3 linked regions of the Arabidopsis thaliana genome follow. The protein of the gene in region 1 interacts with the protein of each later gene in a pairwise test. Each region holds a gene or a part of one and is shown on either strand. Other genes may lie near its edges. The genes, in order: TIFY10B, AIB and AT4G16430.

Region 1 (3,755 bases):
GACTAAGAATTTGTTATGAAGCTGAGTGTTTAAATTATGTGCAGTGTTTTACAAGAAGTTTCCCATGTTATGCTAGTGTTACGTCGAGGGAATCAACAGAGTTTGTTCAACTACCAAGAGCTAAGCTAAGTTTCTTAGGATCAAGATCTGATGAGCCAAAGACTTGGACAGGAGCTAAAACGTGCTAGAGATATCAGAGTTTGGATTCGCCATTAAAATTCTGTTTCTTGTGATACCTTCTTATTGGAAATCTTTGTAGTCTTTACATTTCTATTGTTTAACATGAAATCTCAAAAAATGCCAAATCAATTCTCAATTTTAAATTTAGTAGCTCTTGACAGTTTTCCCTTTGTTAATTACATATATAGAGAGTAACTAAATCATCTTTTGAAAGGTAAAAACTAAAAAAATATATTCCAAGGGCCCAATGTTTTACCACTTTCATATGTAAGCTTATTTTCTGTTAAATATGTGAAAGAAAGAAGAGGAATGAATCAGCTGTGAAAACCAAGAGCAAGTATAAAAACATGGCTAAAAGGGTATCAATCAGCCTTGTATAAGAGAGCCATAAGTAGATAAAGTTTCTACAGTAAAAACAGGAATATAGAGTACTATTCCTTAATTAGCTTATGTTCTTCTATTCTTCTTGTGACCTCTATCTTGCATTTTTGTGACCACCCCACTTGCCTTCTTCTTTTTGGTTGCATACTCTAAATAATATCCAGACTTTGATGTCTTTATGCGCTCTGGGTTCTTCTTGTGACCCCTCTTCCTTGTAATTGTATGTACCTGCAGCTTCTTCTGATTTTGTTTCTTATGGATATGTTTGTGATGTATAAAATTTTGTGAAGATGTTTATAAAACAGTTAAAAACCAAATTAACCAATCATCCTTATTTTCTCACGAGCCACTCTATGAACCTTACGTTATCTCGATGTACCTGTAATGAGTTAGCAATTACTACAATCCAAGTCAATAAAATAACAAGTTGGACGTTACGTTATAAAAGAAAATCAAACTTATTTGTGTGTTCCTAACAAACGCATGGGATAATAACAAGAGAATAAAAGACAGAGTGATAGGATCAACGGCTATTGTGCGTAGGAGAACACAGCTGCTATATAAGCCGCGTAACAGGTGATTACTCTGACTACGACACCAACAAGAAAAATTCTCTCAAATGTGGGCAGTTAAGTTAGACACGTGTAAGGTCGCGATTCATGGAGGAGACGTGCTCTTCCCGCTTTTTGTAATTATTTATTACTGTTGTCATAAATAAAACACTAAAAAAAAATTAATAAAAGGGAAAATACAAAACGTGATTTATGGATCAAATTTGCATTGGTGGTGGAGTTTTGGTTATGTAAGACCCACACCGTGTTCCCTCTATCTAACGCCGTTAATCCTCTTTTTTCCCCCAAATCATACCGTTAATTCTCTTTGAGTGCTAAAATATCACGCCGGTCTATGAGATTAAAATAGTAGACTAATTAATAGTGCTAAAAATACATAAATTAATGCCAAGAGATTCATCTTAAAAAAAAGGATATATGAACCAACTAAATGGTATAACTGAAAGACTATCATAATCAAATTTCATCTGAACATTGATTTGTTTGAACTAATTAATTTTAGGATTTTACGTTTTCATAATTTTTTATTTTATTTGAACATCTTGTAAGGGTAAAATGGTAAAAACAGGAGTAGTAAGAGGGTGAAATGGTTATTTCAAGTGTGAAGCGTGGGGACGTGGGTGACGGTGGTGATCTGAAACAGTGGTCTGCCGTTAAAACATTAAATTAAAACACGTGTTTTAAATGTCTCTATGTTAATTAATACTATAAGAGTATATTTTACTAATTTCCGTATCTGCAACCAGCGAAAAAAAAGTAATAAAGAGGTCCTCCATTTCTTCCTCGTGACAAAACGCACTTGGCAGAGAAAGATAAACAAGAACCCTAAGTTTTTTTATAAGATTCGAGAAAATTCAACAACTCAGGAAGGAAGATCCTTTTGCTCCAATTTCTCAATCGAAACGATTTCAATTTCGGTTTCAACGATGTCGAGTTTTTCTGCCGAGTGTTGGGACTTCTCTGGTCGTAAACCGAGCTTTTCACAAACATGTACTCGATTGAGTCGTTACCTGAAGGAGAAGGGTAGTTTTGGAGATCTGAGCTTAGGGATGACATGCAAGCCCGACGTTAATGGTAATCAACCTTTCTCTTTTAGATCTGTTCATTTCGTTTCTGCGAATTTTGAGTTTCCTGTTGCGAATTACGAATTATGAATCGATTACATGTTGTCTGGAAATTGAATCGTTGTAGAGAATCGATGATTAATGGATTTTGAATCAATTTCTATATATGTATGTATGTGTATGAATTTGTGGAGATGGTTCTGTGTTTGGTTTAAGCATAATCCTCTAAAGCCATAGGCCTGGTTTAGTCATTAAGTAGATTTTGTTTTGCAGTTGTTTGAGAGATTGGTGAATGATAATAATCTTTACTTTTGGATCAATTTTCGCAGGAGGTTCACGTCAGCCTACAATGATGAATCTGTTCCCTTGTGAAGCTTCAGGAATGGATTCTTCTGCTGGTCAAGAAGACATTAAACCGAAGACTATGTTTCCGAGACAATCAAGCTTTTCTTCTTCCTCTTCCTCTGGGACCAAAGAAGATGTACAGATGATCAAAGAGACTACTAAGTATGTGTTTATATGTATATAGTGAAAAGAATCGTCTCATATAGTAAGCTATGTTTCATCAGTTTAACTAATTTTTGTGTGATTTTGAACAGATCTGTGAAGCCAGAGTCTCAATCTGCTCCGTTGACTATATTCTACGGTGGTCGAGTTATGGTGTTTGATGATTTTTCTGCTGAGAAAGCTAAAGAAGTCATTGATTTGGCTAACAAAGGAAGTGCCAAAAGCTTCACATGTTTCACAGCTGAAGTAAACAATAACCATAGTGCTTATTCTCAAAAAGAGATTGCTTCTAGCCCAAATCCTGTTTGTAGTCCTGCAAAAACCGCAGCACAAGAGCCAATTCAGCCTAACCCGGCCTCTTTAGCCTGCGGTAATTGATCTCAGCCTCTTTTGGTTCAACCATCTCTGAGCTTGGCTTAGTCCTATTTCTCTAACTTTCTCTCTTTTTGATTTGTAGAACTCCCGATTGCAAGAAGAGCTTCACTTCATCGGTTCCTTGAGAAGAGGAAGGATAGGTAATGCATTTTAATGAAAACATAATATCTTGTTATTCCATAAGTTCTTGTTAAGCGAATTTCTCAATATCCTACTCGTAAACCTTTAACAGGATCACATCAAAGGCACCATACCAAATAGACGGTTCAGCTGAAGCGTCTTCCAAGCCTACTAACCCAGCTTGGCTCAGTTCACGGTAAACTTCGAGCCTGTCCGACCCAGAAGGCACAACTTGAGAGACCTTCTTGTAAGATTCTTCTGATGCTCCATCGTTACAAATATCAAGCTGCTCCTCTGTTCATTTTTTCTATAGATTAATTTCACCCCTAGTAGTTTTGTTTGTTTAACTCCCCCGAAAACTCATTATATTTGTATGAAATCAATATCAATAGTGTTCAATGTTTGCTTCTGGGGTTTAAGTTTTAGCCAGTGTGTATAACCCTTTCCTCTGCCGATCTCAACATTAGCTTGCAACTTTTGTAAGAAACATCACTTGTGTTTTTGTGTTGATGGCCATTAATATAATCCAAGTTTATTTAATCCGATTGTTTGTTCG
Region 2 (3,755 bases), on another chromosome or scaffold:
CATTCGATTATTGAGCCCTACTCTTATCCGTTATTGTTTTTTTATTCTCGTTGCATAATCTCACTAATGTATATATAACACTCGTTTGAATTTTGTTAAAACTATTTTGTTTTATTTTATATAAAATTACCGAAATTCAATCTACAAATTCAAATTTAAATTAGGTTCTCTACATATCTTAAAAAGATAAATAAGTGAAATTCATAATGATAAAGCCAATTTTGTTTTGTAACTATTATTAGCTTCTTTTTTCTTTTTTTTGAAGCAATGTATCTAATCTATTCTCTTCTAACGAAAGAGTATTAATTATTATAGACAAAAAAAAATAGTATTAAACAAGCCTACGCAAAACACGTTCAGTATTAGGTTATAGTTTTTAGTACTAATTAAAATATGAGATATGAGTTTTTTTGTTCTATTAGAACTTAAGAAGATAAAGAATTTATAAGTTGGTGCGACTCCGAATTACTCAAAAGACACCAATCATCGCGTTATCATCCTAATCTACAAAACAAGAGGTCAAATTTTGCATGTCACGTCACAATATTGTACATTATCATCACGTTTTTTTACAAAGCTTTAGTATATCAACGTATACATTTCAATGTACGAGTTTTCATTGTACTATCTATCCCTAAGTTTGAATTAGGTTTATCGAATCTCTTTCTTTATTTATATGCAAATTTTAATGATGTCATTTTAAATTATTATAAGAAAATATCCCCATACAAAACATGGTGAGGCTTATCTCATGCGATAATACTTTAAAATAGGTTATGAATATAATCATGTAATTATAAAAAAAGTTTTTAATTAATGGGGAGAAAACAATTAGAAAACTACAAACACATGATGATAGAAAAGTAGGTTAAAAGTCCATCACATGGTGCTCTCTCACAGAACGAGACCCTTTTTGTTGAACGTTACTGTTGGGCATGAGATTCACGCAAATCCTATGCGACAAATAATTTTCTTTCCATAAAAATCTAAATAAAGAAAGAACGTACCATTTTTTATATCGAAGTTAAGGACTATATATATACTATTGATAAGAATAATATACTCAGACTATACTATTAATTAAATGGACCCACGTTAATAACGATGTCTGAAATAACCAAAACCCCACCAGACAATTCAGACAATATTTCTTTGTTTCTTTATGCATGTGAGTTATTTTTATTGGTAGAGAAAAAAATAAAAACAAATAATTAATTTAGTACTATTTAGTACATAATAAATTTTAAAATATTTCGACCATGTGATCTATACTTCTTAAGTACATTACTATAATTTGAATCTCTCACGTAGGTACATACACACGTGTGTACACAAAACACTATTTTCTCTAAAATTTACCAAGTGCAAATATCGTTGTTTCACTAAAATCACCATCAAGTATGTATTACTTTTACGAAATTAATCGGATTTGGAGACAAATTCAAAGACTAGCCAGATTTAGGGGTGAGATAATCCATTTGCAAAATAGATTTGAAAAGAGATTTTAGATTTTCTATCTTTATTCGGAGAGAAACAATCAAAGTAAGTGAACTTAAAATCAGGAAACAGAGTTAATAATCAGAGTAATTATTAACCATGGTTAAGTTGAATAACCAAAGTAATTAACGTGCATAAGTAACCATGGTTGGGTTTTTAAAAAGAGCTTTCATACAAACTTCAATTACCCCAGCAAGTCTTGTCTCCTTCTCTCTCTCTCTCCCTCTCTAACTGTATCTTCTTCTTCTTCTTCAACCTTCAGACTTTTCTAGTTGCAACTCTCATTCAATTGTTCAATTTCTCTGTAAAAATCAAAGCTTTTTGGAATCTTTCTTCGGCGAGATATTTCTTCACCGGCGCAAGCTTCTCTTGAGCGTGATTCATCACTGGGTTTGCATTTTTTCCTGGTGGGTATTCTTCAAATTGTTCAAAGCTCCGACCTTTTCTTCCTTAGAATCTGATTACTGGAATCTTGAAGCTGGAGAGACTCGAGTTTATATGGTTTCAAGCATCGTTGAGTCAATCATTGAGTTGTGTAGAAGAAAGGTTTGGTTTTCTTCTCCGTTTAAGTGGTTTTGGGTTTGGTAGGATTTGGTGTAATCTGGGAGATAAAGAAAGATGAATATGAGTGATTTAGGTTGGGATGATGAAGATAAATCGGTGGTTAGTGCTGTTTTAGGGCATTTAGCTTCTGATTTTCTTCGAGCAAACTCTAATTCGAATCAGAATCTCTTTCTTGTTATGGGAACTGATGATACTCTGAATAAGAAGCTCTCTAGTCTCGTTGATTGGCCAAACTCGGAGAATTTCAGCTGGAACTACGCTATTTTCTGGCAACAAACCATGTCTAGATCCGGACAACAAGTCTTAGGTTGGGGAGATGGGTGTTGTCGAGAGCCTAATGAGGAAGAGGAATCAAAAGTTGTTAGGTCTTATAATTTTAACAACATGGGGGCAGAGGAAGAGACATGGCAAGATATGAGGAAGAGAGTGTTGCAGAAGCTTCATAGGTTGTTTGGTGGATCTGATGAAGACAATTATGCTTTGAGCTTAGAGAAAGTTACTGCTACTGAGATTTTCTTCTTAGCTTCCATGTATTTCTTCTTCAATCACGGTGAAGGCGGTCCTGGGAGGTGTTATTCTTCAGGGAAACATGTGTGGCTCTCTGATGCAGTTAACTCTGAGTCTGACTATTGTTTCAGGTCTTTTATGGCGAAATCTGCGGGAATCAGAACGATCGTTATGGTTCCTACTGATGCTGGTGTTCTTGAGCTTGGTTCTGTTTGGTCTTTGCCTGAAAACATTGGCTTGGTTAAGTCTGTTCAAGCTTTGTTCATGAGGAGAGTTACGCAACCAGTAATGGTGACTTCAAACACTAACATGACTGGAGGGATTCACAAGCTTTTCGGGCAGGATTTGAGTGGAGCTCACGCGTATCCTAAGAAGCTCGAAGTGAGAAGAAACTTGGATGAGAGATTCACTCCTCAAAGTTGGGAAGGCTATAATAACAATAAAGGTCCAACATTTGGTTACACACCTCAGAGGGATGATGTGAAAGTGCTAGAGAATGTGAATATGGTTGTAGATAATAACAATTACAAGACGCAGATTGAGTTTGCGGGATCATCAGTTGCTGCTTCTTCGAATCCATCTACAAACACTCAGCAAGAAAAATCAGAATCTTGTACAGAGAAAAGACCAGTGAGCTTGTTAGCAGGAGCAGGAATAGTTTCTGTTGTTGATGAGAAGAGACCGAGAAAGAGAGGGAGAAAGCCTGCAAACGGAAGAGAAGAGCCATTGAACCATGTGGAAGCTGAGAGGCAGAGACGCGAGAAGCTTAACCAAAGATTCTACGCTTTACGATCAGTTGTTCCAAACATTTCTAAAATGGACAAGGCTTCTCTACTTGGAGACGCAATTTCTTACATCAAAGAGCTTCAAGAGAAAGTCAAGATAATGGAAGATGAAAGAGTAGGAACAGATAAGAGCTTATCAGAATCAAACACAATAACAGTAGAAGAAAGTCCAGAAGTTGACATTCAAGCTATGAATGAAGAGGTTGTTGTAAGAGTAATCTCGCCTTTGGATTCACATCCAGCTTCAAGAATCATACAAGCAATGAGAAACTCAAATGTTAGTCTAATGGAGGCTAAGTTATCATTAGCTGAAGACACAATGTTTCACACTTTTGTGATAAAGTCTAACAACGGGTCGGATCCATTGACGAAAGAGAAGCTTATAGCAGCGTTTTACCCCGA
Region 3 (3,755 bases), on another chromosome or scaffold:
CCAACTAGAGATCAATGACAATTGCACAACACAGACTCAAAGAAACTTGAAATTCAAATCAATTTCAGCACAAATTGGCAATTACAAAAGAGAAATCCACAAAAACCCCAAATCGGAAATTAGAGTAGTGAATTAGGAACAAACCTCTGAGTAGGGTCTTCGAAATTTTGGAAGTTCCCTCGAGAGCGACCCATTGATGCCCAAGTAGAAAATTGGATTATTGGGTTATGCGAAACCACAGAGAAGAAGAACCCTAGCGTAATGCCAACATGGGAGACTCACCGGAGAAGATGGAATGGGTACTTGGGGGGGTTTCGTGGAAGAAAGATCTAATCGGAATTCAACAAAACTCGGTCGAAATTTGTGAGGTTTTGGATCTCTACTAATATTATTCAGAAGTTCCGACCGAGAAGATTAAAATTAGGGAAGTCGAGGTAAAGGAAATTTCTAAGGCACTGTACTTTTTAGATTTTTTGGGATTAGACGGTCATGCTTATTACTAAAGCATATGACTTAAACTAAATTGACTCTTATAACTTCAACTTAAAAAACTATTATTTTTTATGTTAATTGTTGAATGGTGGTTGAGGGAAAAAAAAATGAAGAAAAAAAAGCTAAGATAGACCATTTTTATTGGTAATTTTTTATTATTAAAATAATAAAAATAATAAAAGGAAAAGAAAGAGAGTGTAGAATGTTTCTCGTTAAACTATGAAATACTTTATACAAACCATCATAATATTTTTCTCTTTTCAATTGGTTCGCTAAAATAAAAATTTAATCATATATAAAATTATAATAAAATACTAATATTCTTTTTGTTTGAAAAACTGTTTGGGTTTCTTCTTGATGGAGATGTCTTTAATATTTGGTTGGGTTATGGTTATTCGTTTTTAGGTATTTTGTTCATGGACATTTTCAGTAAATGAATTAGCAAGTAAATAAACTTGTATAGGAATAAATGGTTAGTGTTGTCACACACTATCGGAACAACATTATGATGTATTTTAAAATCTTATTGATGCTAATTTGAAAAATTGATTTGGAAGAAGGTTAAGCAAGGAAACAACCATATAAGATAGTTTGATGCTAATTTAAAGTTTCTTATTTTGGTCGAAAATCGAATTATTAGAAATGTTTGAACCTTTTTTATTAGACATCTAGTGATAAATTTTATAAGACTCATGTCAATCGAATAAAAATATCGAATTGTTGTTTTGCTGAACGAATAAGTTTGTCTATATTAGACGCGATTAGTTCTTCTAAACCACATTATCCAAAAAAATCGTGATTGACTACATGGTGTAATGATACCTATCATACCATCTCAAGAATATGGCATGACTCATCCAATTAACAATTGTATTTGCGCATAATTGTAAGATGTGTAAATTCCTTTTCCGCTTATTAACGGTGATTTGCGATAAGTTAATTCAGAAGACGAGTTTCGATTCTCCCATCATAATAGGTTGTACTACGAAATAATTTCCCAACATGTACACATAATCTCGACAAAAATCCAGTGATATGGGTTTACTTGTAGTTGAATAGATATTACACCACAATGACTTGTGGTTTGGTATGTAAGAAAAGGCAAAAGTATAGTTTGCAGTTAAAAAACTGAAGGAAATGATGTCCTTGGTATTAAATTACGATTAAACCCATATTCTCTCTCTCGCATAGTCTCTTCCTCTTTTCTTCTTTCTTCGTCAATTTCAGAACAAGTCACTACAGATCTGAAGTGAACCAAGCTCAGGTTTTGTCTTCTCTTTGATCATTCCTTTCTCAGCAATATAAATTAGAGTTATATCCTTTATAAAGGATTTTGCTTTTTCACCAACAAACCCTAAATTCGGTGTCTCAGCAAGAATCACGTGATTCTCGTTCCTCTTCCTCACGAAACCCATCATCTTCTATCTCATTTGTAAGCAGCGATCTCAATCCAAATACCTTTAATTTTATTTGATTCCATACCCTAATTTTTGTATATTCCATGTCAATGAACGTTTCAGGAGAAATGGGTCAAAAGTTTTGGGAGAATCAAGAAGATCGAGCGATGGTTGAATCCACCATAGGCTCTGAAGCTTGCGACTTTTTCATCTCAACAGCTTCAGCTTCCAACACTGCCTTGTCCAAGCTTGTCTCACCACCAAGTGATTCCAATCTCCAACAAGGGTTACGTCACGTTGTTGAAGGATCTGATTGGGATTATGCTCTTTTCTGGCTAGCGTCCAACGTTAATAGCTCTGATGGTTGTGTCTTGATCTGGGGAGATGGTCATTGCCGTGTCAAAAAGGGTGCTTCAGGTGAGGATTACTCTCAGCAAGATGAGATCAAAAGACGTGTGCTTCGCAAGCTTCACTTGTCGTTCGTTGGTTCAGATGAAGATCATCGTTTGGTGAAATCAGGAGCTCTTACTGATCTCGACATGTTTTATCTGGCTTCTTTGTACTTTTCCTTTAGGTGTGATACCAATAAGTACGGTCCTGCTGGAACCTATGTGTCTGGGAAGCCTCTTTGGGCTGCAGATTTGCCTAGCTGCTTGAGTTATTATAGGGTTAGGTCTTTCTTAGCTAGGTCAGCTGGTTTTCAGACTGTGTTGTCTGTACCAGTGAATTCTGGAGTTGTGGAGCTTGGTTCTTTAAGACATATTCCAGAAGATAAGAGTGTGATTGAGATGGTGAAATCAGTGTTTGGTGGGTCTGACTTTGTTCAGGCTAAAGAAGCTCCTAAAATCTTTGGTCGACAGCTGAGTCTTGGTGGAGCAAAACCTCGGTCTATGAGTATTAATTTCTCCCCGAAGACCGAGGATGACACGGGTTTCTCATTGGAATCGTATGAGGTGCAAGCGATCGGAGGCTCTAATCAAGTGTATGGTTATGAGCAAGGGAAAGATGAGACATTGTATCTAACTGACGAGCAAAAGCCGAGGAAGAGAGGGAGAAAACCAGCAAATGGAAGAGAAGAGGCTCTAAACCATGTGGAAGCGGAACGGCAGAGGAGGGAGAAGCTGAACCAGAGATTCTACGCTTTGAGAGCGGTGGTGCCTAACATCTCCAAGATGGACAAGGCTTCGCTCCTTGCAGACGCAATCACTTACATCACGGATATGCAGAAGAAAATCAGGGTGTATGAAACAGAGAAGCAGATAATGAAGAGGAGGGAGAGTAATCAGATAACTCCAGCAGAGGTTGATTATCAACAGAGGCATGATGATGCAGTTGTAAGGCTAAGCTGTCCGTTGGAAACTCATCCAGTTTCAAAGGTGATACAAACGTTGAGGGAGAATGAAGTTATGCCTCATGATTCCAACGTGGCCATCACAGAGGAGGGTGTGGTTCACACATTCACTCTCCGGCCTCAGGGTGGCTGCACCGCTGAGCAGTTGAAGGACAAGCTCCTTGCCTCTCTATCACAGTAACTATCACAGCAGTAACTGCTATGTAATAAGTGTAACCGTGTTGGAGGTTGTATCAATGTACTATTGCAAGCCAACCAAAAAAAACTCCAGCTTAGTAGGATCGTGTAATTTTCCTTATATGTAATGTTGAGATTTGTCTTTTACATATAAAGATTTGAGCAGAAAGCTTCACACTTATCTCCTATCTAAATACACAATATAGAACCGTTTTTGTTGCCTTGTCAGTCAAAAAATTTGAACACTTCCAGTTTGTCTACGGTCTACCAGTTGTTGAGCTGCGACGTAACACTTTTCACGACCGGATGGTACTGAGTATGCAAGTACTTCTTCGCCT

What was found.
Region 2: the proteins of TIFY10B (region 1) and AIB interact in a two-hybrid assay, tested with the Arabidopsis thaliana proteins (one study listed by BioGRID).
Region 3: the proteins of TIFY10B (region 1) and AT4G16430 interact in a two-hybrid assay, tested with the Arabidopsis thaliana proteins (one study listed by BioGRID).

Annotation. Positions count from the first base shown.
Region 1 is NC_003070.9:28,148,563-28,152,317, reverse strand, and holds TIFY10B (TIFY domain/Divergent CCT motif family protein), read left to right. Parts: upstream 1-1,871; 5' UTR 1,872-2,059; coding exon 2,060-2,207; intron 2,208-2,526; coding exon 2,527-2,704; intron 2,705-2,796; coding exon 2,797-3,074; intron 3,075-3,161; coding exon 3,162-3,219; coding exon of another isoform or gene 3,220-3,223; exon of another isoform or gene 3,224-3,311; coding exon 3,312-3,399; 3' UTR 3,400-3,743; downstream 3,744-3,755. UniProt on the Arabidopsis thaliana protein: Repressor of jasmonate responses. Jasmonoyl-isoleucine (JA-Ile) specifically promotes COI1-TIFY10B/JAZ2 interaction. Activated by MYC2, MYC3 and MYC4 transcription factors.
Region 2 is NC_003071.7:19,091,248-19,095,002, reverse strand, and holds the start of AIB (ABA-inducible BHLH-type transcription factor), read left to right. Parts: upstream 1-1,629; 5' UTR 1,630-2,115; coding exon 2,116-3,755. UniProt on the Arabidopsis thaliana protein: Transcription activator. Positively regulates abscisic acid (ABA) response. Confers drought tolerance and sensitivity to ABA.
Region 3 is NC_003075.7:9,265,582-9,269,336, forward strand, and holds AT4G16430 (basic helix-loop-helix (bHLH) DNA-binding superfamily protein), read left to right. Parts: upstream 1-1,678; 5' UTR 1,679-1,924; intron 1,925-2,012; 5' UTR 2,013-2,017; coding exon 2,018-3,421; 3' UTR 3,422-3,597; downstream 3,598-3,755. Other genes in the region: ADA2B (ADA2 2B), read right to left, coding at 145-194; NAR1 (ferredoxin hydrogenase), read right to left, coding at 3,682-3,755.